Lytechinus pictus: one gene and its partners. The protein of the gene in region 3 binds, or shares a complex with, the protein of the main gene of each other region. Links are inferred from orthologs where the notes say so. Each region holds a gene or a part of one and is shown on either strand. Other genes may lie near its edges. The genes, in order: DNA-directed RNA polymerases I, II, and III subunit RPABC2-like; general transcription factor IIF subunit 2-like; general transcription factor IIH subunit 4-like; transcription initiation factor IIA subunit 1-like.

What was found.
Region 1: general transcription factor IIH subunit 4-like (region 3) and DNA-directed RNA polymerases I, II, and III subunit RPABC2-like share a complex: the UniProt entries of both Homo sapiens proteins name them as parts of the TBP-based Pol II pre-initiation complex. The link is inferred for Lytechinus pictus from reciprocal best matches to the Homo sapiens genes GTF2H4 and POLR2F.
Region 2: general transcription factor IIH subunit 4-like (region 3) and general transcription factor IIF subunit 2-like share a complex: the UniProt entries of both Homo sapiens proteins name them as parts of the TBP-based Pol II pre-initiation complex. The link is inferred for Lytechinus pictus from reciprocal best matches to the Homo sapiens genes GTF2H4 and GTF2F2.
Region 4: general transcription factor IIH subunit 4-like (region 3) and transcription initiation factor IIA subunit 1-like share a complex: the UniProt entries of both Homo sapiens proteins name them as parts of the TBP-based Pol II pre-initiation complex. The link is inferred for Lytechinus pictus from reciprocal best matches to the Homo sapiens genes GTF2H4 and GTF2A1.

What each region holds. Positions count from the first base shown.
Region 1 is NC_087248.1:11,113,200-11,121,210, forward strand, and holds the start of DNA-directed RNA polymerases I, II, and III subunit RPABC2-like, read right to left. Parts: upstream 3,019-8,011; 5' UTR 2,919-3,018; coding exon 2,893-2,918; intron 1-2,892. UniProt on the Homo sapiens protein: DNA-dependent RNA polymerase catalyzes the transcription of DNA into RNA using the four ribonucleoside triphosphates as substrates.
Region 2 is NC_087260.1:10,629,041-10,636,225, reverse strand, and holds the start of general transcription factor IIF subunit 2-like, read right to left. Parts: upstream 3,004-7,185; 5' UTR 2,879-3,003; coding exon 2,819-2,878; intron 1-2,818. Other genes in the region: esterase LipI-like, read right to left, coding at 4,286-5,081, 5,568-5,634, 6,783-7,038. UniProt on the Homo sapiens protein: TFIIF is a general transcription initiation factor that binds to RNA polymerase II and helps to recruit it to the initiation complex in collaboration with TFIIB.
Region 3 is NC_087259.1:21,886,323-21,894,214, reverse strand, and holds the start of general transcription factor IIH subunit 4-like, read right to left. Parts: upstream 3,020-7,892; 5' UTR 2,991-3,019; coding exon 2,851-2,990; intron 1-2,850. UniProt on the Homo sapiens protein: Component of the general transcription and DNA repair factor IIH (TFIIH) core complex, which is involved in general and transcription-coupled nucleotide excision repair (NER) of damaged DNA and, when complexed to CAK, in RNA transcription by RNA polymerase II.
Region 4 is NC_087251.1:22,636,869-22,644,234, forward strand, and holds the start of transcription initiation factor IIA subunit 1-like, read right to left. Parts: upstream 3,014-7,366; 5' UTR 2,900-3,013; coding exon 2,876-2,899; intron 2,512-2,875; coding exon 2,410-2,511; intron 18-2,409; coding exon 1-17. UniProt on the Homo sapiens protein: TFIIA is a component of the transcription machinery of RNA polymerase II and plays an important role in transcriptional activation. TFIIA in a complex with TBP mediates transcriptional activity.

The DNA of each region.
Region 1 (8,011 bases), on a different chromosome or scaffold from region 3:
CTAAACCCTAACCCTAACCATAAACCCTAACCCTAACCCTAACCCTAACCCTAACCCTAACCCTAACCCTAACCCTAACCCTAAACCCTAACCCTAACCCTAACCCTAACCCTAATTGAATTCAATTCCCATTGAATTCCTTCAATGGGAATTAAAACTTTATTTCATATTTTAATGAAGAAAAAATGAAAATATTTCATGTATAAAAAATACAAAAGAAATAGAGAGTGAATGACATCGATCACCTCACTAACCAGGATATGCATATATTAAACTGTTTTGTGAAACCATACTTTGAAACGCTTGCCAACGATGTTTTGAATGTTGCATTGCACGGTCACATCGTTGGTCGTTGGCTAGCGGCGCACCCAACGATGTATAGCAATAGCTAGTAGTAGTAGGTAATTTAAAAGAGTGTATTAATCTTGTACTATTGCACCTTCACATCGTGGGTCGTTGGTTAGCCAACGATGTTTTAAATGTTACATGGCACCGTCACATCGTTGGTCGTTGGCTAGCGATGTTTTGAATATTATATTGCACCGTCCGTACCGTCACAACGTGGGTCGTTGGCTAGCAGCGCACCCAACGATGTTTAATTATAGCTCTAGTAGTAGTCAAAGGGCAAAGGTCATTACGTATGGCCTGGATGCATTGCTCGTACGTACCTTCCTTCCTGGTTTTCTCCCTCCGCTGCTTTCGGAGATCAGCCCTATGAAGGCAATAGTATCCATAATAAATAATCATCCAGGGTTAAGAGTAGACAGGACAAGTCGTAAAGATATAGTTCATGCAGTTTAATTATGGTTATATGCAGGTTCTGAGCATGTATCAATATGTTTCAATCGACACATATGAAGTTTATAGATAAAAAATAATGTCTTAAGAAGCAGGCAGTCTTTGATAGAGACTGGTGGATCAGATACAGGAGGAAGAAGTACAACACAAGTGAACAGAGTAGGGTTTGCTGAGTTATAAGAAGAGATCACATCTGGGTAGTCTTTCAGAGATTCATTGAGTAAAGAAATAAACTCAAAGCGAATTGAGTTGGAATGGGGACATGTGGCGATAAAGTGTTCTACTGTTTCGTCTGCACTATGACAGTGCTGGCAGGTTGAGTCAGCGGTCTTAGCAATTTTTTTCAGTCTGGTTTGAAGAAGGTAGGTGGAAGAAAGAAGCTGTGCTCTCACTGTCAAGGCCTTTCTAATCAAGGAGGATGGAGGGTTTCTTGGGTAGAGGTCCTTGACGTCCATAGGCAGATTACCTGCCCAGACTGAAAGACTGGCTTTCAAAGGGATGGTTTGCTCTAGATCCTCATTGACATTTCTCCTCGTTGCTATGTTGATGGTGCGCTTCCAAGTGTTGTATTGAGGTGGATCTGTAATTAGATCTACAAGTGGTGGGAGATGATATTTGGACAGAGTATCAGCAAACATCCGGATGGTTGGAGTTGTTTTCTCTGAGGCATGAAGAAAGATTCTAAACTCGAACCGACAGCGATCAATAGAAAGAATTGACCCAAGGAGGAGGAGTCTGTCCAGTTCTATCTGAGCAGACACTGGAATCAAGTCTGTGAGAAGATACACAATTTCATCGGCTGAAGTGATTGGTACTCCTAGGATCCTTTTGAATAGCTGAAGTTGTGTTTTGTTCAGTTTCTTTAGCATTGCCTGGGTGAACTTCAGAGTAGCACAGCCATAGAGCATACGTGGGATGCAGTAAGACGTCCATAGGCGGGCAGTCACTAAAGGCACAAGACCCTCCGAGTATGCACCAGTTCCTACCATTGCATAGAAGGTGTTCAGACCTCTTGTAGCGATCATATCAGATTGGTCTGATTTCGTACTGGTCTTGAGAATTCCTAGATGGGTGTGTGAATCTGTCCGCAAGATTGCATCATTCCCTACTGTCCAACTATCCTGGTTACTGGCTTTGCGGGGATTGGTGACCACGATAGCACTCTTAGATGGGTTGATACGATAATGCCAACAAGAAGCATATTGGAACGTCACTTCAAGCATTTGTTGTAATTCTGAAGGGGAGTTGCTTAGGAGAGTGATGTCATCAGCCAGTGCAATCACACCTGCGTATTCCGATCGTATGAAGGTGCCGAGCCCAAGTGACTTTAGATGTTTTATGAGGCCATCAACGAATACGGTATATAAGGTGGGAGAGAGGATACCACCCTGCCTGACCCCTTGAGTGATAGGAATGGGATCTGACACATCTCCATCCCAAAGAACATGGCTTTCCATCCTTGAGTGTAGATTTTGTATGAGACGAACAAGGGAGATGCTTATCCCAATGGACTGCAACTTATCAATTAAGCCTTCATGCCACACACAATCGAATGCTTTCTCCGCGTCAAGATAAGCGGTGTATGTCGGAAGTCTCGAAGCAGTATTGAGTTCCAGAATAAGTTCAAGGCACAGAGATGTTAGCATGCATGAGAAACCTTTCCGAAACCCAATACGTACGTACGTACGTAGTATAGTAGTAGTAGTAGTACCAGTAATGCATGTACGTATATAATAGTATGGATATATCTAGGCTATATACCATTGAATTAGTATATAGCTATAGGTCTTGACATCGTTGTGTTGGCTGACCAACGATTGGGTAGTGAGCAGTGTCGGGGTATTCTGCAGTTAAGCCGAAAGACCCTTTCGTGCAATCGGCCCCTCGACTCTGGAGGATCCAGTGGATACGCAGAAAAACCACACACCAAATTAAATATACGGGACTGTATTTAACATGATTACAATAATGCTTAATTCAGCCGCATGTGCATGGGTAAATAAAGCTACAAAGTACGAGATACTATCACGATAAGTAACACAGTTATATCAGTCACATAATTTCATATGGAATACAATTTAATGATGTTCTTACTTCTCGATATCTTCGTCGTCAGCCATTGTTTTGTCGGCCTTTTATAGCTTGCTTGGCAAACGTGAGTGATCTCCGAAGTCCAAACGTATTACGCTAGTATACTTCGGATGAGAAAATATGAGCCAACTGACGCCAGCGCCACCCGTCCGTCCGTCAGAAATAATACAGGGAGATATTAAAGACATTATTTTGTCAGTTAAAATTCAGAAGATCAGGATGAAAATAATGATAATATTGATAATAACCACAACACAAATAATAATTATGTTAACAATGACATAAAGAATTCATATATGATCATCATTATATTATATATATTATATACCAGGTACATTTTTTTTTTGCTTTTGTGCTTATCATATATTAGACGAAGAAGAAGGATATCATGCAAGGAGAAGAAGAGGAAGGAGAAGAAGAAGAAGAAGAGGAGGACGGAGAAGAAGAAGAAGAAGACGGAGCTTGGAGGCGGAGAAGAAGAAGATAGAATAGGTTTATGCATAGTCGCATTTTGTTCAATGATGTATTGTTCTATAAAAAAATATGCCCATATGAGTCAAAAGTGGCCATGAGCACCTGCCTCTATATATAATAAACGTGTATATAATTGCTACGAAATTTGTTTTCCCCTTTGAACATGTTGAAAGTAAGTGTTATGATACGCCTATAAGTTCGCGCTTTGCGCTCGAGGCTGGGCTGAAATGGGACATTTTTGCGTAGCAGTCTGATCTGTCAAGCAGGGTCATGCATGATTATCACGTAAATATAGGCATATAGGCCTACTATAGATACTGAAGTTTATTATTAAGTCTGCCAAAACATGATTTGAATAGATAAAGAAATATCAGACAAAAAAAACATGACATTTTTATCAAAATCAGACAAGGAATAACAAAGTTATGACATTTTAATGATTTTGCATTATTTCGGTCAAACAACAGTTCTGGAAATGTGTCTTCATGAATATTCAATGAACAAACAGATGATGTCATAACCCCACTTGTTGTTTTGTATTTTATTATATGAAATTATGTTTATTCAATTTTCCGCCAAGAACTAAAAAAAGTTGGATCGACAACTGATTTAATGCATTGCTGCATGCAACTTATCATAGGTAGACATATCATTCACACTTGTATGAAGAAATAAATTATTTCCGATTTCATGTAATAACATAAGAAAATTTAGGAACGTGGGGATGTGACACCATCAGCCCACCCAATAAATATTCATGATGACGTGCATAATTGTTATCACAAAATATTGCTAAACTTTAAAATTAAATAACCTCGTTATTAATTGTTATCGGATTTTGATGAAATTTTCAGCATTTTGCTCGGTGAATATCACTATATTTATATTTTCAGCCCGGGTTAACCCTTTAATGATATCCCTGTTCATTATAGTTTTTAGATTTTTAGATATATATATATATAAAATTGATTTTCAATTAATTTGGTGAAACATTGGAGACCTCTGGGTTAAATTGGACTAAGACGTATAAGTATCACCATGGACCTACTGGTATTAGAAATACTGCTCACAAAGTGATTGATAATAAACAAGTGGAACGCCTCTGGCAGTCTCGCCTGCATTACGCGATTTAATATAGCAGCAGTGCTAACTTTGAAAACTACAATAAAATAATCACTCACAAAAATATATAATGACATAATGCCACGTTCATTGACCATAATACCTTGGTCACATTTGTTCTACGGCGGCCGTACGGCGAGTCGAGAACAGCCGTTTTAACATTTTTTTGTCCAACTATATATAGGTGGTTTGACTTAAAATTAATAAAAACGGCTGTTTTCGACTCGCCGTACGGCCGCCGTAGAGCAAATGTGACCAAGGTATAAATGACATTTGAACGGTGACTTAAGACTTGTCAACTACACCCATGTCCACATTTCATTCACTCTATCCATAAACTTTCAAAGTTATGATGGCAATTCAACAATTACCCCAACATGGCCTAAGTTTATTGACCTTAACTGACCTTTGACCTTGGTTTTGTGACCTGAAACTCACAGGGGAGTGTTCAGTGATACTTGATTACTCTTATATCCCAAGTTTTATGAACTAGATCTATAAATTTTTAAAGTTATGATAGTAATTCAACAAATACCCCCAACTTGACCAAAGTTCATTGACCCTAAATGTTCTTTGACCTTAGTCACGTGACCTGAAACTCGAGCAGGATGTTTACTAATACTTGATTAACCTTATGCCCAAGTTTCATGAACTAGGTTCATATACTTTCTAAGTTATGATGTCATTTCAAAAACTTAACCTTCGGTTAAGATTTTGAAAATAATTCACCCAACATGGTCTAAGTTCATTGACCCTAAATGACCTTTGACCTTGGTCATGTGACCTGAAACTCAGGTAGGATGTTCAGTAATATTTGATTATCCTTATGGCCAAGTTTCATGAACTAGGTCCATATACTTTCTAAGTTATGATGTCATTTCAAAAACTTAACCTTAGGTTAAGATTTGATGTTGACGCCGCCGCCGCCGTCGCCGTCGGAAAAGCGGCGCTTATAGTCTCGCTCTGCTATGCAGGCGAGACAAAAACTGAATTAACACCTTTTTTATGAAAATATAAAACAAAGGAATTTGTCATGGGATTCTCTCGGATTCGGAAATTCCTTAAACACTGAATAATTATTGTAGAACATTTTGGAGTTTTCATAAGCATAATTAGCTACGCCATCTTTTTTTGTGTGTGTTTGTTTTAAAGTATTTTTATTGCTTCTTCCAGTGACATTTAACAAACAGCAGTGAAATGCAAACATAAACTGATTTCAAAACTTGCTTTATGAATAATACATCAAGGTACCAGATCAATAAGTAATTCAGAAACCTTATGCACAAATTTATAAATCAATTCAACTGGTCCATCCCAATGCACTGAAAGAAATTCAAGAAATAATACAGAAAAAAATTACCACCCCTCACGTTCCACACACACAAAATCAATCCTTGTCTCCTTCGTCCCAACCACACCCCCCTCCCCCGTCCCCGCCATAAGCCGCCTCCCTGGCCCTACCCACATTTTTGTTTTGTTTTAAAATTGGTTCAACTTTAACATTGGGTCTCACCCCCCCCCCCCCTCCCCAGGGTAACCACAAAATAGGCCTGTATAAATTGGGGCAACTTTTTGTAACCTATATGTCTATCACGATCGAATAAGCATAACATATAGGACCCCGGCCCGGGATAGGACCCACCATAAAAGGAGGAGTAACATTTTTTTTTTGCTGACATTTCATTTGAAAGTTGTGCGTATACTATAGGAACATCTTTTAACTGACGTACCCCCATTTTGATTGGCTGATTATCTTTCAAGGTCACATGAGTGTCCCATTTCTCCCCATGTCCCATTATGTATCTATATACCCGGTCTCCTGCATGTGGGCCCCAAACGGTGCCTACGTATAGTCTCAGTCTGTGTTGTGTGAGGATAAGGCATGATAACCGTACGCAGCGGGGGGGGGGGGGGGGGGGGGTGCCCTCCCAGAAATTTTGAATTTTTTTACTGAAAATTTTCAAAAAATTTACCAAGAGTGTGCATGAAATCCTGAATTTCACTTTAGAAAATGCAAAAACATTCCAATTACAGGCTCGGTTACTTCGCTCCTTCGTTTAATCTATTAATTAATTAATTAATTTATTTATTTGTTTATCTATCTATCTATTCATTTATTTATTCATCTATCTATCTATCCATCCACCATCTATTTATCTAGGCCTATCTATCTATATATTTATAAGTCTTTTTTAGTAGGGTGGCTCCATCAGTATTTTTTACACGTCTTGCCCCGCCTGCCACCCCCCCCCCCCCCCGCTATGAAAAAAATTACGTTATGAATATGCACAAGTGAGGGAATGGAAGATGTATCCGTCATCCATTGCCTGGTATCATAATGTACCTCACCAAACAAATATTGGAGTACATGATTTCAAAATTGTCACCCCGGTTGGCCAAGATTCGCCCCTGCACGCGCACACCACCGGCACCATGAACCGCCACTCAACCCTTGAAAAAGGTATCCGATATATATTAGAAGAATACCTTAATGACATTTCCAATACAAGTCGAAGTCGATGTGATTCCGACTCTTGAACGATTCTCACTCACAATAATGAGAGGCAAAAAGGGTATCACTAGTGATTGGAGCATCTGGTGAAAATATAACTTGGACGCTAATCTTAAATTCATTGCTGGAAAGGTAAGCATTGAAAGTGAACATTCTAAGATGATGAGAAATTTTACTGTTCTGTTTCCGTCGTTCGTGTTCCAAATCCAAAAGACCAAGGTATCGTTATCGTATTGACTGAGCTGTGGTGGAGTGTGGGCGTTTTCCGTGCTTGATCTTGTAATGAATGAACATGCCAATGAAGCGCACGCTGTTATAAATTTGCCGCTGGTCCAGCGGGCTGAAGTTGAGCCTGAACGAAGCCAATGCTGAAGCAGTGAAGGTGAAGGCTGAAACATGGTCAGCTCAGGAGATTTATGTGTGTGTGCCCGGTAGTTCACTAGTTGTTCCGAAATAACATCCATCCACTGGCGGATCCAGGGGGGGGGGGGGCCCGGGGGGCACAGCTGGCCTATGTCATATGAATTTGTAATTGTATGCTGTTTAAACAAAACAAAACTTAAGGTGTGCCCCCCCCTCCCTTTTGAAAATGAAGACCTCTTTTTTTTGCTTGTCAAAATTTTTTCGTGGAAGAAATGTCCATATTTTTGGGTAAAAATTCAAAAATTCTTATTTTTGGCCTGTCAAATTTGTATTCGGGAAATTGTGCCCCCCCCCCCCTTTTGGAAAATCCTGGATCTGCCCCTACATCCTTCAATTCCTTCCTCACATACATGTATGTTGTTGATTTTATCAAATTGATTCTAATGTTCTTGAATCTTCTTTGTGGCTTTGTGCTCATTAAAGGACAAGTCCACCCCAACCATTAGTTGATTTGAATAAATAGAGAAAAATCCAACAAGCATAACACTGAAAATTTCAACAAAATCGGATGTAAAATAAGAAAGTTATGACATTTTAAAGTTTTGCTTAATTTCACAAAACAGTTATATGTACATCCTGGTCGGTATGCAA
Region 2 (7,185 bases), on a different chromosome or scaffold from region 3:
ATTGGGAGATACATCTTTTCAAAATAATAGCACATGTAAATTATGCATCATACATACTTAGACCATGAAGATTGGAGCATTCAATTGCTGAGAAAATCAAATTATGAATAAATCATTTCATGACTAGAAAATCACATGTGGACGTTGAGATGGGTACCCCCGGGACATCGAATTTTAATAGTTTACGAAAGTAAACCATAACAGTTTTCTTTGTAAAATAATGATAATTATACGCCCTTCTACGGTTCCAAACATCATCAAAATATAGTTTAACAAAAACAAAAATAAATCTTTGAAACTGAAACATACGATTTGACAAATTCTATGCATAAATTAGAAATAGAATTTATCCAAATGTTAATAGGGGTCTGAAAACGACAAATACGAGTCCAGTTATGGATGGCCTGACGTGGTAGAATCTTTGTCGATTAAATCATTTTACTATTTCAAACTGAATGGTTTTGTGGCGTTTTACCAACAGTTTTTATAGTTTCTTTTTATTAGAATTATCATTGAATGCATTATCCCACTTGTTTTGTGATGTAATTTCAACCTCTATGATTGATTACGTAAGAGTATTATTTTCAAATATCTAGGCACTTTTGCTTGTCATAGTCTAACCACGTGATGCCACTACATCATTAAGAAAGAAGTTATGACAGGTTCGGAGGTGTCATTAATATTTAGTGAGGTTGTTGTACCCGATCTTGGTAAAGAGGGCTTTGTGAAACGGTTAGCGGACAAGTAGCTCACTATCTCCGATTTAGTCAAGAAGTTAGACTTATGACGGTGTTGAGAAACGGGCCCCAGGAGGCTCCTAGAGAGTAAAAATCATTTACTAATGTATGCTTACTCTAAACGGAGCCAGAAATTCCTTCCCATTCATCTCCGTGTACTGCCAAAAAACCTGAAACTTTCGCCCCCGAGATTTCTACTTTCCTTCTAAAAGATCTAGATCTAGCCCTAAATCATGTACCCGGTATGGGATACAACTTCATTTCCGACATTTCTACGCTATTGATTTCATTTTTAAACAAGAATTTATTTAAAAAACAAGAAAAATGTAATGAAAAGACGGGGAAAACTTGCCACCGTGTTTACGTCACCATTTTGATTTCGCTTGGCGACAGCACGCAAATCGTGCGATTTCCGTGCTTTCGCCCAGCGAAAGACAATGAAATCAAGAGTTGAGTTGATGACAGCGTCACTCAGGCAATTCCACTCAATGATAGTGGATGGGAAGAATGAGTTCCTGTATTGTTCAGTTCGCGCTCTGATCAGGCGCGTAGCCAGGGGGGGCGGTCGCCCCCCAAAAAGAAAAAAAAAGAAGGGGAAAAGGGAGAAAAGGGAAGAAGGGTATAGCCTATAGCTTTATTGTTTTTTCTTTCTTTTTTGTCAAAAGAATAAAAACCTAAACGAGATGTTCTTCTCTCTCTTCACACAAAATTTTGCTTCTGCGCTCCACGCGGGAAAAATATCAAAATTGCCTTAGCCCTTTGTTTCCCACACCTTTTTTTCTATTCCGTTTTTCTCCTTCCCGGCCATGGGAATCGCATTTTTGCCAGAAATTATAAAGTATACATGGGTGTAAGGAGTATGAGAAGTATTTTTTTCAGTTGCGCTGACACAAATTTTTCCTCGTCTGTTCAGAGTGGGTAAACTTTTATACTGTCACTCGATCCCGAAGTCCCCAAATGCTATTTCTTCCGCATTTCAGCAAGCAATATTTTGGCAAAGTATCTGCTCAAAGGGGGAGCATTGAATTCGTGCCGTGCTATATGCAAACGTTGGTACGATGAAACTTTATTCTAAATTTATATCGCTGCACATCCATCTCATGTCCTGTTTTGCGCCATTGATTTGAAATTTTGAATATCACAGAAGTTTCTTAATCATACAAAAGGAAGCGCTTAATATTATGAGCGAAATTACACAAATTTGTTTCTTCCAAAATAACTCACAGAAGTTTCCGTGCTTCGCGTGCATGGGAAAGGAAAAGTCCCTCTTCAAGCTTGCATCATCCCTTTCACATTTTGAGCTACATTTTTCTTTGTATTATTTATAGAAATATCAAAATTAGAGCAGGTTAAAGTTTCAAAGAAATTTCTAAAATTCAGAGCTTCAAGCCATTCGCGGGAAGAAATATTTCCTCCCTGCATATACCCGCATCTACTGTTTTGTGAGTTAAAGAAATATAATGTGGTTAAAGTTTTTACAATCAAATCTGGTGACTAAAGTCTAAGATAGGCATTTTAAACCACTTCTGTTCTCAATTTCTTTTAATAAAACGTCTTAGCTTTCGCGCTTCGCGCGGTAAGAGGAATTATTTGGAATTCCTCAATCTTGTCCCATTTTTGGGGCACTCATCTTTTCTTTGGAAAACAGGTTTTGTTTTTAATCACAGCAAGTCAAATTGATAAGGGTATTATTAGAGACGCAAGAGACATCTTCTTTTGATTCAAATTTGATGAGATATCAAAAACTCCCCCCTGCACCTCCCTGCACCCTCCCCCCTTGCCCCGGGGACCTCGACACGACGTTCGGGCTGCCGCAGGCGCAGTAACCTCCCCCCTATGCCCTAACTCCTAAGGCCCTAGGGAGCGCGCTTTGTAAGTTTTGGCACGCTTCGCATGCATTTACCGCCCCCTCCAAAATTAAATCCTGGCTACGCGGTTGGCTCTGATTGGATTGTAATTTGTAGCACTTGTTTTTATTGTTTGAAAAAGATTACAGTACACTGCAGTCCCACCTGTACCATTCTGTAACCTGTTTTGAGACACTGCCATTTAAATTGACTCGATTATTAATTTTTATTTACCTTGACCAGCCAAATCGGTCGTGCAGAAGCAGTCAAGTCGAGCTCCATCTTGGACGTCATCGTAATGACCTTGGTAATTTGATAAAAGTAGAAAAGGACTTTAGTTCGTAAGGCTACTGCGACAGAATAATTTACAATAAGCAAGATTATCCGACTCTTTCTGCAAGATATAAATACATCGCTGCTACCTCGCCGCAGATGGCGCTATACCCCAGATTGGCGTGAGTATAGTAACATTCTCGACGCAGAGCCGTATGAGAAAGACGCGGCGCGTCAAATATTCGTCTTGGGTCATGTCGTGGGCCGTGGGTCATATTACCGATTTGCCAAGATAAAAAGTTGGTTTTCGAGCTACCATCGATTTAATGAATTTAATTGTTGTTTCTGTTCATAGACATGGATTGAAGGATGAGAGAAATTACGCATCTTGTCCTCGATCAATAATTCATCCTTTCATATTCCTTCCCTTGATCCTCACTCGTCTCTCTCTCTCTCATCAGTCCAACCCATTCATTTCCCATTGAGGAAGCAATAGTTTGGGGATTTCGGTCTTCAATATCCATCAATTTCAATCTTTCGTGTTCTCCTTTTCCGTCCATCTTTCCCCCTCTCTTTCTTCTATTCAGTACCCTCCGTATTGCAGAATATAAGGGGCTCGTTGTAATCTAGATTGCTGAGGTCGCCATCAAAAGGAAAATGACAATGAGTGCATAGAAGAGACAATACAAGTAATATGTTTTCAATTTGTCGGCCCATATCTATCTTTATTGCCTTCTGCCTAGCTATCTAGTTGTCTGCCTGTCTATCAACATACCTACCTACTTTCTTTTAGCCTACTTTCTATCTTTTGTTTGTTTCATTTTCACCCATTAATTCTTTCCCATTCTCTCTTTATTATGCTTACTATTTATTAATTTCGCCGACCCCCCCCCCCCCTCTTTCATACCATGTCTGCTTTTCTCTCTGTTTTCTAATTTATATAATTTTTCGTTATCTGTTTATTTTCAAACACAAAGTAAGAACAAACATTCTATTGTTGTAACAATTTGATTTAAACTCTTCAGTACCTGGGCAACTACACAATCATGATTAATCTGTACAGAAATACAATATACCATCGTAAACATAAAAAAATCATTTCACGTATTTATAAAAACACATTCTGCTAGATTAACAATATAAAGTGGCATTAAGAATCAATTAGTACGATCTAATTCAAAATACAAACGAATTAAACCTAGACAAGCATTTGAATATATTCATTTAAAAACGATGATTTGGATAAATACAATTTGTCAAGTTTTGTTCAATATGTAGTTAGAGGTATGACTCGTCTGTCGCGTGTATGATTTAGGTTTGACGAATACTGACTGCATTTCAATACGAAATTAATTGCACTTGAGAAAAAAAGTATAATCAACCAGATACTGCTGGTAATTATTGCAGATTAAAACGCAGGAAAATAAATCAAATGTTAACTCTGATGAATTTGATAAATCCTTCCTGCACCTGCTTTCCTGTTTCTGAATATAGTGGAGAATACCAATCCAAGCCGTGAAAGGCAATATCATAGTTAACCCAGTCCACATCGACACCACCATCTTTTAGACGATGATAGTAGAATATTCCGTCGTCGCGCAGGGGATCATAGCCGCAGGTGACGATGTAGGCTTTCGGCAGTCCTCGCATATCTTCGCGAAGGATCGGCGAGAACCGAAGATCCAGGACGGTATCTTTGAGGTCATTCCAGATCGCCTCGTTGCCGAAGTCGCTGGATTGGGGCGGGGCGTAGTACGCGGGGTCGCGGAAACTCTTGGGGATCAGCGAGTGGTTGAAGGTCTTGCGGAAGCGCGGGGAATTCTTGAAGGCGGCGGAAGTGTGGTTGTTCGCCGACATCTGCTCGACCAGGGAGTCGTTGAGGACTCCGTTGAAGTACGCGCTGAAGGTAAACCCCGTGATGGAGTTTTCAATCCAGGTTTTCTCGCCGAAAACATGGTTGTTCTTCTGGTACGAAGGTGTATGGTAGTCGAAGTGCTGCAACCAAGGGAAGAGATGCACCTGGAGACGGACGTCGGGAAGGGCCGGGTCATCGTGAATGGCCTGGACGATCGCAGCCGTGAGGTAGCCGCCGGCACTGTCACCTCCTACGGCGATGCGAGTTGGGTCGACTCCGTAAACGTCGGCGTGTCTCATCAACCATTTCGTAACGGCTACCCCGTCATCGTATGCTGCCGGGAAGGGGTGTTCCGGGGCCAAGCGATAACTGAACGAAAGTAGAAAATTAGAAAAGTCAGCTGGTAAAACCCTCTAAAACAAAACGAAATATTATTCCATTTTTTCAGATAATATAGGCTAATCATACGTTAGGATTTCGTTACATTTGGTCCTGGGACAATTGCTCTGCTGTAAATTCCACACACTGAAAAATGACCAAATTAAATCTTGGATTCCCTTTCCTAAACCTAACACAAAACCCTATTGCAACCCTAACCCGAACCCTATGTCTTAGACGAAGTAAAGCCCGGAGAAATGTCGTGCCACCTTCTATGCCAGACATGAATGAAAGAACCATCCCAAAATAGGTGGAGAAATTTATTATTAATTTTTTTCCCTCTCCTATCCTCTTTCCCCTTTTTATTCATTGATTGAAAATATATAGGGGCTGCCATCCCCTGTCCGTTGTGGCACTGCCCCTTTCATTATTAGCATTTCGATCATGAATTTCTGATTAAAAAATGTAGGAACTTACTCGACAGATATGACAACCATCCCTTCAAGTTGTCTTGCTATATCACGGGTACCAATTTCATAGATATCTGTTATGGGGAAAAAGAGAAAGAGAGAGAGAGGGAGCGAAAGGCAGAAAGAGAGGAAGGAAGGAAGAAAGAAAGAAAGATGGGAAGGAGGGAAGGATCAAGGAAGGAAGAAAGAAAGGGTTATATTAATTAGGGGCGGATCCAGGGGGCATGAGTTGACCCTTTCAAGCAAACATCAGTACAATGTTTCTTTCGTCTCCCCATTTTAGACGGGATATTGCCTCCTTTTAAATGAGGATGCAAGTTTATGTCCCTTTAATACTGATCTGACGGTGTACATGGTGTACGAGCTAGCACGCCCCCTTTCGCTCGTCAGATTTTTAGGAAGAAATCAAACCCTGTTCTTATTTTTTATTCTTGAAATTTTCCAAAACAAAATCGATAAACTTTCTGCCCCTGCACCATTTATGGACCCCTCCCCAAAAGGTGAATCGGGATATATCATTCTCTGAGTGAGCGCTGCGGCCGAGTGGATTAGTCTCCGACTTTGAAACGAATCCCTGTCATGGCAAAATTTATTTAAGCATCGATCCGTATTTTTCTGCACTCAACCCAGGTGGGTATTTCATGAAGCTGTTCGAAAGTTAAGAGCGACTTTAAGGACTGGTGATCCTTTATTGTGGCAAATGATATTCACCATGAATGTTTATTGGTGATTATTTAGCACGTAAGAAAGGTTCACCAGTCTTTCTTAAAGTCGCTCTTAACTTACGAACAGCTTCATGAAATAACCCACCCGGTGAGGTAGATGGGTACCTGAATATTATTCATTGAAATGCTTAATTGTGCCGTGCAAAAGGCTTGCCTACCTCAAGCCATGGTTCGAATGTCAAAGTGCCTTTGGAAGTGCATAGCGACTAGTGAATGGTACGTCATATGGGCCAATAGAGAAGTAATATCAACATTATTATGGGTGATTTCAAGTCCGGTGTTGGTGTTGGAAGCTTAATTTTTATTGTCTTTCCTCTCTGAAACCAATTCCAAGTTTATAAAAGTGATATCACAATATTAACGGGTCAATACACCTAGCGAGTGACTTTTCAGGACCAGTTTTATTTCATGTTTGGTGCTATGCTGATGTAAAAATTGACCTAACACCAACACCAAAAGATCAACACTTAACTAGAAATCACCCAACAACCACTCACCAACGCTTCCGACAGTAAGACCGCCTCCATGAAGAAAGATAAATGCCGGCCGTTTCTCTTGCTTTCCCTCTGTGTGCTGGTAGAAAAGTACCCTGACCCCGTCAAAGGTCGTGTCATCTAACGTGACCTCTGACCCATCTGATTGTGACGTCTTACCGGCTCCTAACTGATAGATTTTGGCTAGAGCTGTAAGGCTAGTTTGTATGACAGAGAAATCAATTGTTGAACCTCCGCGGACCAGGGATTCCAGGTACATCTAAGGCAATCGAAAATAAGAGAGATTAAACAGTAGGCCTAATAAGTTCTTCTATTTTCCATTTATGTTTTATTTCCACGGTCCCGCAACATTACGAAACTTTGATATAATAACATAATAACGTTAAACGGCATTTACATACATATG
Region 3 (7,892 bases):
GCAATGGCCAATCACGTTTGGCCGGATTGTATATATAAATATTTATGAGCCCAGAGTCCCGCTCCAAGGGGACTGCATGCGCTGGCCTAGCTGGTAGTCCTGGTACAAGTGCGAGCGTAGTTAATTTGGCAAGTATCCAAAGTGTGGTCCAGGTATGGACGACTAGGAAGAGTCGCCATTTTAGAACTGTGAGTTACCCAATTAATCTGTCATCAGATAATTAAATTCGAGATAACAGTTGATTCGTTGAGCGCTATAACTTTCATAGTTTCATGTCAACAAGATAGAGATAAAATGGTTTGATGTGACAGAGGTACACGCGAGCACATGCAGTCAATCAAGTACAAATTGTCTACCGGTACGCTACGACAGGCTACGTATACCTGAATGAACTATAGCTTTATCAGTCTATCATTACCGAACCCCGAACCGAACCAATGTTCGGCAAATTTCTGCCGAACCTTGCCGAACCGAACCGAACCCGAACATGGCGCCTGACTTGCAGCACTAGGTATGAGGATGATGGGAGGGACGGGGATGATGAGAGGGATGGAGATGAGGGGATTGACATGATGAGAGGAGGGATGAAGATGATGGGAGAAGGGGTGGAGATAATGAGATGGTGGGAGGAATGGAGATGAGAGGGGTGGAGATGAGAAGGATGGAGATGATGAGGAGATGGTGGGAGGAATGGAGATGATAAGGAGATGGTGGGAGGAAGAGATAGATGAGAGGGATGGAGATGAAGAGAGGGGTGGAGATGATGAGAGGGATGGAGATAATAAAGGGAATGGAGATGATGGGAAGAGGGATGGAAGTAATGAGGCAGATGGGAGGAGCATCCCTATAAAGAAAATAAATCAGGGAAAAACAAGGAATGGAAATGGGCACGATGAATTACATCATTTTATTTTAAATCCTGAAAAAAATAAAAATAATTAATTTAATTAATCAAGTCAGTTGTTGAGCGGGGCCGAGCCGAGCACCAATGCAACACTGCTAAAAGTAATGGCTGCACGCGCGCCTATGGGAATCAAGAGCTGTAGGAAAAACGCCTAAAATTACACCTTTTTTCAGCGAAAAAAAGTAATAGTGAAGAAAATTACCATCAGACCATATCTCTAGAAAATCGTTACAAGAAATTTTGAAATGATGGAAAAATAGACGCAACTATGTGAAAAAAAACCGTGAAACGGTCCGAGTTGTCCGTAATCGGTAATGAACGATTATTAACAGTAGAGGCGCACAGCCAATATGGGAGACTCTCTCCAATAGGGGAGACAATCTCCCACATTGGAGACTTGCTTTGCAAAAGGACAAAAGAAACAACACCAACAAAAGCATGATTTTTTCCACCCAAAATTTTGTCTCACTGAGGTCAGAAGCCCATTTGTTTTGTGTGTGATTGACAACAAAAATCCTTATCAAAACAAAAGTAGACGGTGAATATTTAAAGTAGACGGTGAAAAGGGGTAATTTTTCATGAGGAGTCTGCTTATCACATTTTTATTTGCCGCCAAGGTAATCCTTTTGAAGCAAATGTAAACAAAGGAAATTGGACTCCAAAACTGGAGACTGTCTCTGAAATTGGATACCCAAATTCTTTACAAAAGTCTCTGATATTGGACTCTTTTGGAGATACTCTCCCACATTGGAGACAGTCTCCAATATTGGCCGTGCGCACTCTAGGCGACACCCCAATACTTACCCGTGCTAATAAAGTGGGACTCCGCTCACGCGCGTTTGGGCCTCCCTAGCTTAGAACTAAGCAATATTATCTAGAAATTTTTACATTGTAGTAATTAAATATGTTCTATTAAATAAATTGATAATGTTTAATCGGTACTCACCGGTTCTTTTGTTGCATTTTCAGACCATTTCTCACAATTCTTCGTAAATATTTGCGGCAAATTTTGTCGCCATAGACAGCTTAGCGTCCATCTTTATTGATAAATGGAGCGCCCTTTACGATAGTTGTTAATGCCGCGGATAAATCGTTAGGCATTTTGGCCTGTGTTCAAGGCGTTCTTTCTGTTTTATTTTTTATATTGAAGATTGTGCATTTGTTGAATAGCGCCGTCTACGTCAGGTATGAGATCGAGTGTATAAATACACTCTTCCAAAATAATTATGATTCCGACCTGGCGCTGTTTAACTTCAATCTCTTTCACCTAAATTAGCGATGAATGATAGCATTATAAAATATATATTATTAACGTCTGACGGAAAGAATAACCAACCGATCAGCTGACGAGAACGTGAATCACGTGATCTTCATATCAGCTTCGATCGCGAGTCAGAAGAGAAGAGCAGCTGCCCAGAAAATCAGGAAAAAGCCGTGAAAATGTAAGTTCCCCTTCATTTCTTTCATTTTTTGTTGTTGCTAACGATGCATTTACACTATAAAATTATAATTTAAATAAGAGAAAGGAATAGAGCTTGTACTTGTGATATAATTGCCTAAATATCCTGTTCTCAGAGATTTCTAACCAAAAATACTACTGATGTCGCCTATGAGGTCCATACATGTAATGTTGGACCTCATTGGTACTAGGAGTGGCCGTGCGCCTCTACTGATTAATCAATTTCTCCTTTCCCGCAACTTTTTTCTTCCTTTCTCCCTCTTTTTCTCCTTTTCCCGTTTTTTGGGGGGGCAGCCGATGAAGGGAGGGGGCACGTGCCCCCCCCCCCCCCGTAGTTACGCCACTGGTGAGGACGATTTTAAATTTAATCACTTGTCAAAAAAAAATCCAAAGTTGACGTAGCAAAACTTTCAATATGTGGGACTACACTATCAAAATGGGGCAATAAATCAATCAAAACCAAGCTTCTTTCTCATTAATTACTCACCGAAATACAGCTAGACATGTTGCAGGATGATTGTAGAGTCTATCTAAAACAGATCCTTGAAGAGTCCGAAGATAACCATGGAGATCTTTGCAGTCAAGTTTCCTAGAGTTGTCAATTGCATGGCCCATGGAAGACGCCATCTTGTGTCGTCACAAAAATATTAGTGGATGGATACCGGTATCGGAGACGAAGACGAGTGCCCGAACGAAGCCCGATCAAAAAGGTAAGACGAAGAATATGACTAGAGAAGTTTAACGTGAATGGTAAATTTGTAGGTCTTCATATTGGGCATGCCTCATATTGTGTGGTTTGACTTTAATTTTTTATTGTTTACGTTAGAAATAAATCTTAAACTGTTAGTATAATCTCAATCGAAATCTCTGTTGTTTTTTTCCACAGGAGAACATGTCATTACCGGCTAATGCGATAAGTATGCATACATAATGAAAGGAGATAACACGGTTCTGTGAATATAATATTGGGATTGCACAGGGCTTCAATCGCCAGGTTACTTTAGTGCAATTCCATAAATATGTCAAACAGATTGCCAAAATTTCAGATTGTACAAATCAAACTAAATGACACATCAAATGAAAGCTTAATGTACATTGTATGAATTTCAAGAGTCTATAGAAAGAAAAGAGTTATTGCCTAGGGCTAGGTCAAGGTCACTCACACTAGTATGAGGTTAGTATATAGTACTTAGTAGAGTTACCAAAAGGTCGGCCGATCCACTGAGCAAAATTGCTATGGCCGTATGGGCAAATGAAAAGCCAATTGCAAGTACGTAAACAGTGTGCATTGCCACCATCGTCTGTTCTCGACGGCAAAAATGAGCATTGAAATGCTTTTCCTCAGCAAATTAGTTCATCTTAGTGAAAAAAATTAGGCCCTGTGTTTTCTACATTTAAATTAACTTATGTGGGATGAAGTGTCTTACCTTCATGTGGTATCGAAAGTGACGTTTGGAGGTTAAATCCACGAGAAATCCACAGAGTTTCGTCGCGTGTATTCGCTATGGAGAAAAATGCGTGCGATCGCATGCGTTATTGCAAGCTCGAGACGGCGCTGTTGAACTTGGTCTGGAAATTCATAAAAATAAACAAAAATCCTTTGAGTAGGCTCACAATAAAATCATAAAAAATATGCTTTATGGCTTAAACGGCAGATCTCGTGCCCACACATATCATACTGACTGTTGCGTAAGAAACCCTTTTTTCATGATAAAAATATAGCAATAAATGTTTTAAAAATAATGTTTTCCACATGGAATATGTTTGAAACATCTATATTAGAAGAAAAATGTGTTTTTGGAATGAATTCACACTAAAATGATGTTTATATATGCCTGTACTTTTTCATACTACTCAAAAAACTAAATGGGCCGTCAATCAACGTTGGGTACCTCGGCAAGTAGGCGTGGTCTATCGTGAAGTTCGTTGGTGACTTGTCTCTCTCGCTAGACTTTACTCAGCCGCCGAATTTAATTCATTCTCCGCGCACGTGCAACTGCAACTTGTGCACTTATCATCACTTCTGGTGTTTGCCGCATTGAGGACAGATGAAACAATTCTGATATAGTCGCGCGTGTCCAATGAGTGGAAAAGCGCGATCGTTTCATGATCGAATGAAACAGTGTGCCTGTCGAGATAAAATTCATCTGCCATGTTTTTTCTATCATGTTTTATGCAACTGCAAGTTGATTTTTTATTTTATTTTCTTTGATATTTTTCTGTATGAATTTTATTTGAAGTGAATGAATTATGCTGGTGTCCTTGCCATTGAGGACAGATGAAGATGAAACAATACTGATAGAGTGAAACAGCGCGATTGTTTTATGATCGAATGAACAGTGTGCCTATCGACATAAAATTTATCTGTCATGTTATTTTCTATGATGTTTTATACAACTGCACTGTTAATTTGTTACATTATTTTCTGTGATATTTTCCTGTTTATGTATGAATTTTATTTGAAGTGAATTAATAATATTATAAAGATTAATCCAAAACAAAGCAAATAATTGTCGGCTTCATTGTATTCGTGATGAACAAGTTAAGGTATCAAAAAATGATGCTTATTTTTTTATTTGAATGACTGAGTAAATTTGGAATTGAAAAGAACATTTAGTGTTTCCTGTTCAGTGCATTTTTTTTTTCATTTCACATTCTCGGGATGCGAACCTCCACTATATAATTAATGAATACCATTATAAACAAAAATATTAAACAAATAAAGACTCGCAAAATTTTTAGTACTAGTGCAACGGTGATTTGTTGATTTTGTTGTTTCATTTACTGGGAGGCATAGGCGGCGGAAGTGGGGGGGACAGGTCCCCCTGCGGTGGGGGGGGACGGCCCCCCCCTAAAATTGAGGTTGATAACCTTTTTTTTTTTTTTTTGCTTGTCAAATTATTTTTTACCTGTGTCCATCACAAAATTTCAGGTAGACCCCCCCCCCCTTGGCTTCCGCCGCCAATGCTGGGAGGTACGACAGACAAATACCCGGTGTAGATCAATTTTTTTCCAATGGGGGGGGGGGGACAACAATTTTTTTCCCCGATCGGCGCCGTTAAAAGCCGATTTTTTTTTCTTTAACTCAGTCACATTTGCTCTACGGCGGCCGTACGGAGAGTCGAAAACAGCCGTTTTATTCATTTTTATTCAAACCACCTATATTAAGCTGGTACAAAAAAAATGTTAAAACGACTGTTTTCGACTCGCCGTACGGCCGCCGTAGAAAAAATGTGACTGAGGTATAACGAATCAATAAAAAAGTGCTTTGTAAAATATTTGTTTTATGATCCGAGTATCAACATTTTTAGCTCACGCTGTGCCCTATAGCATTATTTGATTTGTGGAGTACCTCCTCTTCGTGTAGGCCCTATTCCATAAATTTCTCAAAATATAACTTTTAAGGTCTGATTGTCATATCTTATCAGCTATATTGCGCGCACGTGCTAGAATTGGTGAGTCATGTATACCTAATATATATAAATCAAAGTACTCACATTCCCCTTTTCATTACAGTTTTTTTTAGTTAATAATAAGTTTATTAAATTAAAAATTTGCTCGCAATTGCCGTTCGCATTAATTTCGTTAAGTACGTTAATTAATGCATCCTATTCATAATGACAAAAGTGCTTATAATCTCCGAGGTTAACACTTTAAAATCAACAAATTTAGCGCTCTCATTAGGCTTATTAGATTAGTAAATAAGATATTGATAACATTTCATTAATTCCTAATACCGTAATTAACTTGTCACTTTTTTCAGAATGGAAGATCGACATGTTTCTTTTTGCGCTTGGGAAGAGGAATCGGAAGACAGTCATTCATAATGATGAAAAAATGTCCTTAGAATGTCCCGGTCCTACGGTCCAGAATAACTTCAGCTCGACATGCTTTGCATTCGCCTCATTTTTAAGAGCAATCCATGTCCACTTCACGGTTATTTTCCTACACAGTGCAGTGCTTAATTTGACCTTTTCACATCGGAATATCCAATATTTTCAGTTCGCGCTTCGCGCTCGCATTATTGATTTCCGTGATAAAAAGTGTATTAAGAATGCGCAAATTCTAGAACATGCATGTTTATTGAGACGGGCTGCTTATCCTGTATTGAAAACAGCATGCTTAAATTATCTCGCTTCAGATTAGAATATCAAACATTTTCTTCTCGCGCTTGCATTATACAAGTAAAGGTGTAACCAAGTACCCATCCTTTTCACGATTTAGAAAACATGAATATAAAATAGTGTTCCTTTTTTAGGTCTATATATCTCAATTTTTATCCGCTCACGCTTCGTGCTCCCACTTTGTACCTAAAATATTACTTAGGCCCTATTCTGTTCTGTTCATACACAAAGTGCTTGGAATGTCCATTTTTATGGTCAGAATTTCAAACATTTTTAGCTCGCTTTGCGCTCGCATTATTTTGATTGAACTGTAAACCGCCATTAGCAAGTCCCTTTTCGATCAGACCAGAATGTATATTTCTCTCTTTTCTTTCTTTTTTTGCTCCTCCTTCGCGCTCGCAGAAATTTTATTAAAATACGCATATTGTTCAAGTTCACAAACATTGCCCAGAATGTTCAATTTTGAGGATAAAAAACATGAAATTTCAAAGATATTTTAGCTCGCGCTTCTCACTCGCACTATAGGGGCTATGAGATTATTATATATTGTGTTTTGTGTATGCTGTTTAATGAGAATAAAGAAGTGACTGTTAGGACTACCCTTATTAACTTTTAGCAGAGCAAATATTTTTCGGCCCCTTCCCCGGTTTATTTCTAATTTGTTTAATTGCCAACTCGTCTACTATCGTTTGGTCCATCAGTTCGTCAACTCACCACATAGTCTTTTTTTTTCATTTAGTATAATGCCATTTCGTCTAATGACCAGTGGACCCAAAAGCCATTTGGTCCATATACCATTTCATCTAATTGGACTATAAATGTTATGAAAATAAAATGGCTATTAGACCAACCGGTTATGTGACTAAATGGTCATAGACGAGATGGTTATTAGAAGAAGTGATGATTGGACCAAATGGTTAATGGACCAATGGCTGTTAGACGAAATGTTGATGGACAGATTGGCATTAGACTTAATGAAAATAGACCATGTAGTGAGTGGACGAGTTTGCCGTAGACGAATTGGCACCCCCCCCCCCCCCCTATTGGCGATACCGCCCATGCACTACTACTTCTTTCTTATCTCATCCTTTTCATGATATATAAAACATGAATAGAGTGTCCCATTTTTAGGTCTAACTAAATCTCGATTTTTTTTTCCGCTCGCTCTTCGCGCTCGCATTAATTGTTTTATAGCGACGATCCTGTTCATGGTTACAATTGATTTAAATTTTCCATTCTTTATGTAGAAGTGTCCCCCCAAAAAAAATCGGCTCGCGCTTGCATGATTTTATTGTTGAAATATGTAACGTCTCCCCATGGCTAAGTGAAATAAGCAGTCCTTAACAGGTACCTTTTTGATCAGTTGAAAACGTAAACAAAAATCTTATGCTCGCGCTTTAACAAA
Region 4 (7,366 bases), on a different chromosome or scaffold from region 3:
AGCTTGCCCTCCCATATCTGTTCAATCATTGCAAAGCAAAATAGACATCTCAAGATTAACCAAAATGAAACAGGAAAGTTGTTTTTTCATAATGAAACTTTATGATAATGATGATGATAATAATGATAATCATGATAAAATAGTTTAATGATTAGAACAAATCTATTATAATATTGATACAATAATATTGTAAAATGATTACATCAACAAACAAAAGTATTTGTTAATTCAGGAAACCCTCATTAGCTTCAAGGTTTCCCCACTTTTGAACTATGCCCTTATGAGGTACTTTGCCACTAATTCCCAGGTACATGTACATGTATGTTACCTATTTTACATCTTGTAAGCTGGAATGAGTTTTTCCCTGTATGACTTAGAAGATGTAAATAACATGTTCTGAATATTCTGGTCTGAAAAACAAATCTTTGGCTCCAGCAATTATTCAAGTTAAGGACAAATCATGCAGACTATGCTACTGTTTTATGCCAAATCCCCTAATTTTGTTTATTACTTATTTAAAAAAAATATTTAAAACTAATTTCATAAAAATCATAGATTATTCATCATTTAAATATTAAAATTGGAAGTAAAAAAAAGAAGAGACGAGTCGAAATTCGGGGGGGGGGGGGGTGTGAAAGTGAGACCCCTGAACCCATACCCACATCCATGGATTCTTTTGCCGTAAATAGGCACCCATCTCTAAGGATTTTCTGTGAAAAGACGACCCATGTTTGAATTTGAATTTTAATGTTAACACATTTCAGGTGCAATATAATATAATTCAATTCTAAACATTCTGAAAGTGTTTGGTGAGTTTCAAACCCGCACCAACTGAAGCATATATTATACAGCACCAATTATCTGATTGCGCCATACCAGACAAATTGATCATTGGGACAAAAATTACGGTATGTAATGTACTATTCATTTTCTGTGGATATGAATATTTTTTAGGCATACTTGACTCGGCCCTGCATATTTCATCATTTGGGAGCAAACACAGTTCTAAATCTCAGACAAAATAACGTGGGAAATATAAAAATTAGTGACCCCATGTCTTCAGATTATTTTTGTGGAAATTGGAATCATGTCTAAAGATCTTTTTTATGAAAACGGGAGGTTAATGTCTAAGGATTTTTCTTGAAAAATTCACCCTTCCCAGCGGCACATCTCATATACCCAATAGGCCTGTTTTAGCCTATTTAAATTTCTTTTTTTGCTTTCGCCAAACTACAATAAATATGGACTTATTCCAAGCTAATTGAGAGGAAGCATCAGGGAGCCCCACCCCCCCCCCCCCCCAAGCCCAAACCTGGCTGCAGACCAAGAACTTTCTAAAAGTTAAAAAAGGGGGGAAAATGAAGAGGGCAGTATCTCTATTCTGACTAGAGATTTGATGAAAGACATAAGAAATAACACCTGGCAATTTTTTTTTCATTGAGTTCTAAAAAAAAAAAAAAAATCCCTCAAAAAAAGAATGGTTGAAACAGGTCATTTATAAGTTTTCACCAGTCCAGCATGAATGACATCAAATGGTAGTTTATTCAAAGAGACTCTATTTTAAACTTGTCTGTCTTACACATGCATAATTTCTAAAGTTTTTTTTAATTTTTTCAAAAATAAATATTCCAATAGTGATTAATGATTGCATAGTGTGCTAAAAACTAGGTTTCAAATAATATCAAAAGATGTGCTTGAAAACAAAATAGCAATCCTCTGATTGTTTGCTTCATATTTTATCCAACCTCAACGGTAATTCAAAGGGTCTGGAAAGAGAATAGACACGAAGACTACCAAGACATATGATCAATAAGCTTCTTTATGCATGAGTCAGGGCACCGGCGGATATTCATTGGTTCACTAAATACCACTTCATGAATATGTATAAAAACCTAAGGTCACTCAACCAAATACACGAATGTCATTGGCTGCAAGGCGATCTGTAGTCAAATGAGGCTCCAGTATAAATACATGGGCATATGCAAATCGAACCCTAACAAGAGGTCGCGGCGCTCCTGTAAAGATGGCAGTTCACGCCGAGACCGCTGCCGTGACACACCGCACAATTGGGCGCGAATGGTTCCTACAAATAAGGATTTATCGGAAAGTGGGAAAACAGAATGTGGAGTCGAAAAGAGAGGAAATTTTGTTCTTAGGGTAGGGGATCTTCTGAACAATCTATACATCGTGCTGGAGTTGGCAAAAACGAAAAAGAGGCATCCGAAAAAGCCCCTCTTGAGAGAACATCAGTCCTCTCAATCGACGTGTAATATGCATTGCCATTGCAAATATTTTCTGTGCGATTATCACAGTACCACTACCGGTACATGTACAGAAGAACGAGAGCAGCTTTGTACATATTTTGCCACTGGCAGAATGTTCAAACAGGCGCAGGCAGCGTATTCTTACCTGTTTCAGATCTTGCAAAACATTTTCCTCCACTCCTTCGTCCAAGAATGCATCTCGAACGTTGTTAATCACATCATCGATTACACTTTTGTACAATTTGTGCTGTAAAATGCGAAAGAAGAGAATTTAGGGAAGGCTGAAAATATATATGATGAATAGATCTACATTATCAGGAAATTATTGAAAAAAAGACAAACCCCTGCAAACCATGATCATCGATTACCAATTCATCCAATAATCTGTCGTTAATTTTGTTTATTATATTATTATCTGACGTCAAAATTTCGTCAAGAAGGATGCGTCCTCTGACTGAGTCTGACCTATCTCCCTAAATATTTACTGAAATTTTTTATTTTAATCAAAATCAGACTCGGTTCATAGACAGTCATTTTCAAAAAAGACAATTTATTTAATTAAACACATATTTTTCCCCGTGAATTTTCTTATTAATCCCATAAAGGCTCACCACAGTCTGAGAATTAGAAGCCATTTTCAAATTTCAAAAGAAAAGGTCCAGATCTGATGAAATGAGAGTTGAAAAAAAGAGTACAGGTACGCTTCTCTCCTCACGTCTCGGCTCCACCGAAGCCACTGCAACTCTGTCGCTCGTGGCTTTTATACTCGTCAACAAGTTCTCTTTTTCACCTATAGGGGAGCGGCAAATTGAAGGAATTGTCATACCCCCTATTAAAACTCCTCGTTCAAAACTATTCAAGTTAATGAAAATATAATGTATCATTACATGTATAAAACAACAAAATTGGTTAATTGTAATTAGTTTTTATACATTTAGTAATAATATACAATCAAAAAGTCAATATTTTTTTTCATAATAGAGTTTTGTTTTCATAATTTGCTAATAGCCTTGTATGTAAAAATCGTCTGCTTCCGTTATCTAGTTTGTCGTCTGCTATATGACAATTGATGAAGAATACGAATTTGGAATAAATGCCTCAATGAATGACGAATATACCATTTTTAGCAGGTAGTTTTGATTTTTGAAAATATACAAATCATTCATCCGCAATGCAGTGAAATCCTTGGCAACACCTCGTTTCTAATTAATGTTCATGCAGGTGAATAAATAAATCTCTATCCCTTACAGGACAATGGTCTATCCTCACAAAAAAAATGATTTGAAGAAGGATAAAATCAAACAAACAAGGTATTTGTACATCCTGGTCAGTATATAAATGAGGATTCTTGGAGATTTTTGTTTTTATCTGACAGTAGCCATAGCAATATTGCTTCTCAGCCAATCAAAAATCAAGGTAAGTTGTCAGATCTGACAAGTTGTCGGATGAAAATGCTGATGAAACGCTCCCCTGATCGTGTAACCCGCTCACTATTTATTATTTTATGAAATATGAATGTTTTCATTTTCTCCTCATTATATTGTGAAACAAAGTTTGATTCCTCCCTGAAAATGTGGAATTAACGCTGATGTTCGATGTAGGGTTCCTTTATTGAAAAAATTTGCAAAATTTGAGATATCGTACAAAAAATACAATAGAAATAGTAAGTGAGTGAGACCATCGACTCTTTCACTTATGTGCATATGGTGAATTTAATTATTTCTGGAAAATAAACGAAGCCTTAAAATGTCATGGCTATCTTATTTCACATCCGATTTCGATGAAGTTTCTACTTGTTTGATTTTTTTTATCTTCATTCAAATAAACTGTTGGGGGTGTACTTTCTTTTTAACATGAAAAAATGATTCCTCAAAACAGAAATTGAAACAAAGATTTTATTTACATTCAGTTAACCTTTACCGATTTGGTTGTTCAAAATCCACTTTTATTGCGCTTATCACATCGATGATCGAGCCTTCTGATGCGCATATACAGATTAGTATAATGGTCAATATGGCTTGCCACTTTAATACAGTGTATATGCATATTCCCTAGCTAGGGGAGTATTCTATGATCAACGAGCAACTAGCCAATACATTGGCGTTCGCTTCCTTCCGGGAAACAAGGTGCATCTATGGTCACTTTACCACTACTGACCCGGTGGCAATCGAACACAGAACCAAGGGCGCCGGAAGCGGGGGGGCAGGGGGGGGGCACTTGCCCCCCCCCCCAAATAAAATTTTTGGGGGGCAAAACGAGATTTTGCTCCCCCCCCCCCCCCATGTACCCCCCTAAAAGTAGAAAATGATAAATAATTTAAGGACAAAAGTAAACGATGAAGGCACTTTTCTGCCTAAAAATTGTAATTTCCATTGTCAAAAATGAATGACGGGGCTATTACATATCATAGTAAGCCTCGCGTCTTTTGACGATGTCCCTCTGCATGTGAAACATACCTTTGATAAACCCCTTTTCTATCTTATTACAGTGTGATAACGTTTAACCTTTTAATGAATACATTTCAGACTAAAACCGAATGGCAAATTGAAAGTGGTTCACCAATGCATGCTGGCTGTGTCGGCTAACAAACGCGCGGTCGCCCAAACGCTCAGACCGGACCCGATATCACTAAAGGCGACCGCACACCTTACGACTGGTCTGCGACCCGATTTCAGAATAAAATGTTGTAGAATTTGATGCTAATATTGAGACTTGGAATGTCTTACTGTGTAATGTCATAAATCATCGTACGAATACCTATGATCAAATCTGTGACTATATTATCATCTTAGAATAAAAGAGAATTTAATATCTAGTCGTAATGACGTCATAGCAGTCGTATGATTGGCTACGATTTGAAACTAATTTGGCCTTTACTTCAAAATAAAGGCTTGCAATCTTTCAAAATGGTTATAAGATTATTTTTTCAATTAATTTTAACCTCAAATAAAGTGATATGTTCCATTCACATCTTCAGAAAATGAGCAAAATGCGATTTGTTCCAAAATCGGATCGCGAACAGTATAAGGTGTGCGGTGGCCTTAACGCGCGTGAACGCTAGTTACTCGAGCAACATTATGGAATCTATGTCATAGCTGTTAAGCCCAGAAACCATAACATCTCGAGGTCGTCAATATCTCATATACTTGTTGCCTGTGGAAGTCATCCCTGAAATAGTAAGTAGATGATAAAGATATAGATTTAAATTATGAAAACTTATTTCAATTATTTCATTTTCAACTAAATATGAATTGAGTTAATACAATGATAACAAGTCAGTGCCCTAAAGAAAATACCAAGGTCATTTCAACTCAATATAGACATGTTATCAGAAAATTACACACAGAATAATTATGTGTAGAGGATTATAATTTGTGAAAATGGTGAATCCCACTCGAAAGCAACTTAGAGATAATGCTTATGCATGAAAAAATAAAATCATCTATGAAAGTGTCTACTTGATCTGACTCATATTATCCGAGATATATGAATAAAAATGTAAATAAAGAATATAAAAGAAAAATAAGCGTTACAGTACTGCTCTACTATAAAAATCTTAAGATATTTTCATAGTCCCGTATTTTCCTCGATTCCTTTTCATTGGCATGATTGGCAGGCGTTTTGTCTGATACTATTTCAGCTCATATGATAATATAGCACTTTTGTATTTTAGATTCCAAAACTCCTTCCCATTACCTGTTACTATATAATCAGATCGAGAGGCAGCTATGTTCTCTGGTTCATCCCAGCTTTTGTTATTCATGGACGTATGCAAAAATATAAAAAAATCCGGGGTGGGTGGGGCTGCAAGAACTAAATTTTCAAAGAAACTTAAGAGCGAGGGGGTTTGTGATGGGGGAGCTTTTGCATTTTCTAGAATAAAATTGAAGGATTTCGTGCACACTTTTGGTGAATTTTCAATGAATTTTTGCCCTCTCGATCGGCGGCCCCCGGCTGCGTACGGTCATGTTTGTCATCTTAAAGTCTTTAAAAGGCCTATATTACATTTGTTTGAAACAATTTCGTTTGCCAGGCTCGTCATTTGCTGGAACTGCGACCCTGATCATGAAGAAACGGGAGGAAACAGAAGGAGCAAAAAGAACTCCAAGACAATGCGAAAGGATCTCGATCACTCCTAACATACTTTTCAAAAGTACAAAAAAGAGGAAAAGGACACTACAAAGTCAACTCAAGCAAGTGGAGGTTTGCCAGAGTCCTCCACAATCCACGAAAACCCTGCCATATGCCAGAAGGGACAAGAAACCGAAGTTCTTTAAAGGAAAAACCCAAATCAGTCTACTTCAGCTAACTTCAAGAAAGACAATCACGGCAGGCGGTTTCGCCCTGAGCGGCATTTTGCCATATATGCCGACAAGGGTGCTTGCGAAAAAATCCTAGTGGTGGAAGAGAAGAAGAGGTTTTCAGCAAGAAGGGGTTTTCAAACTGGAAAAAGGCAATTTAGGCTTTCCAAAAGCATGAGCGAAGTGAAAGCCATCGCTTATGTTTCTGAAAGGATATTGCATGAAAATTTTTGGTATTTTGAGTCAATATAAGCGTATAATACGTAATTTAATTGATCAGACATGAAAACCACATTCCGAAACGATTGTTTTGCGCGTAGATTTCATAGGTTCTCATAAATTATGAGTATAGTCTTTCGTAGTGAATTCTATGTTTAATTCTCAAGAAATTTATTTTTGAATGCTCTTCGATACGCAACTTTTATACTCCATTTTTACACAAAGTCCTTACCATGGGGGGTCCCACACACTCTCCCGCTCGATCGCTTCGGTATCTCACGCTATCAAAAATACTTGTGCCCCCTTCGGGATTTTGCCCCCCTAAAACTGAAAGTGTTCCGGCGCGCCTGCACAGAACCCACTGATTATGGCATGTTGTGATAGAACAACTAGGCGCACATTGTGAACAGACATTACAACACTTCGTTTCATAATCTTAGGCCCATGTCTTATATTTTGCTGCTGTGTCAAATTGTGTTTTACCTTATGTTTTATGTCATCTTCATGATAGATGCAAAATTGGAAGAGATAAGTTTTGAAAACCTACATTAAACCTACATTTCTATACACTTTACTCATACC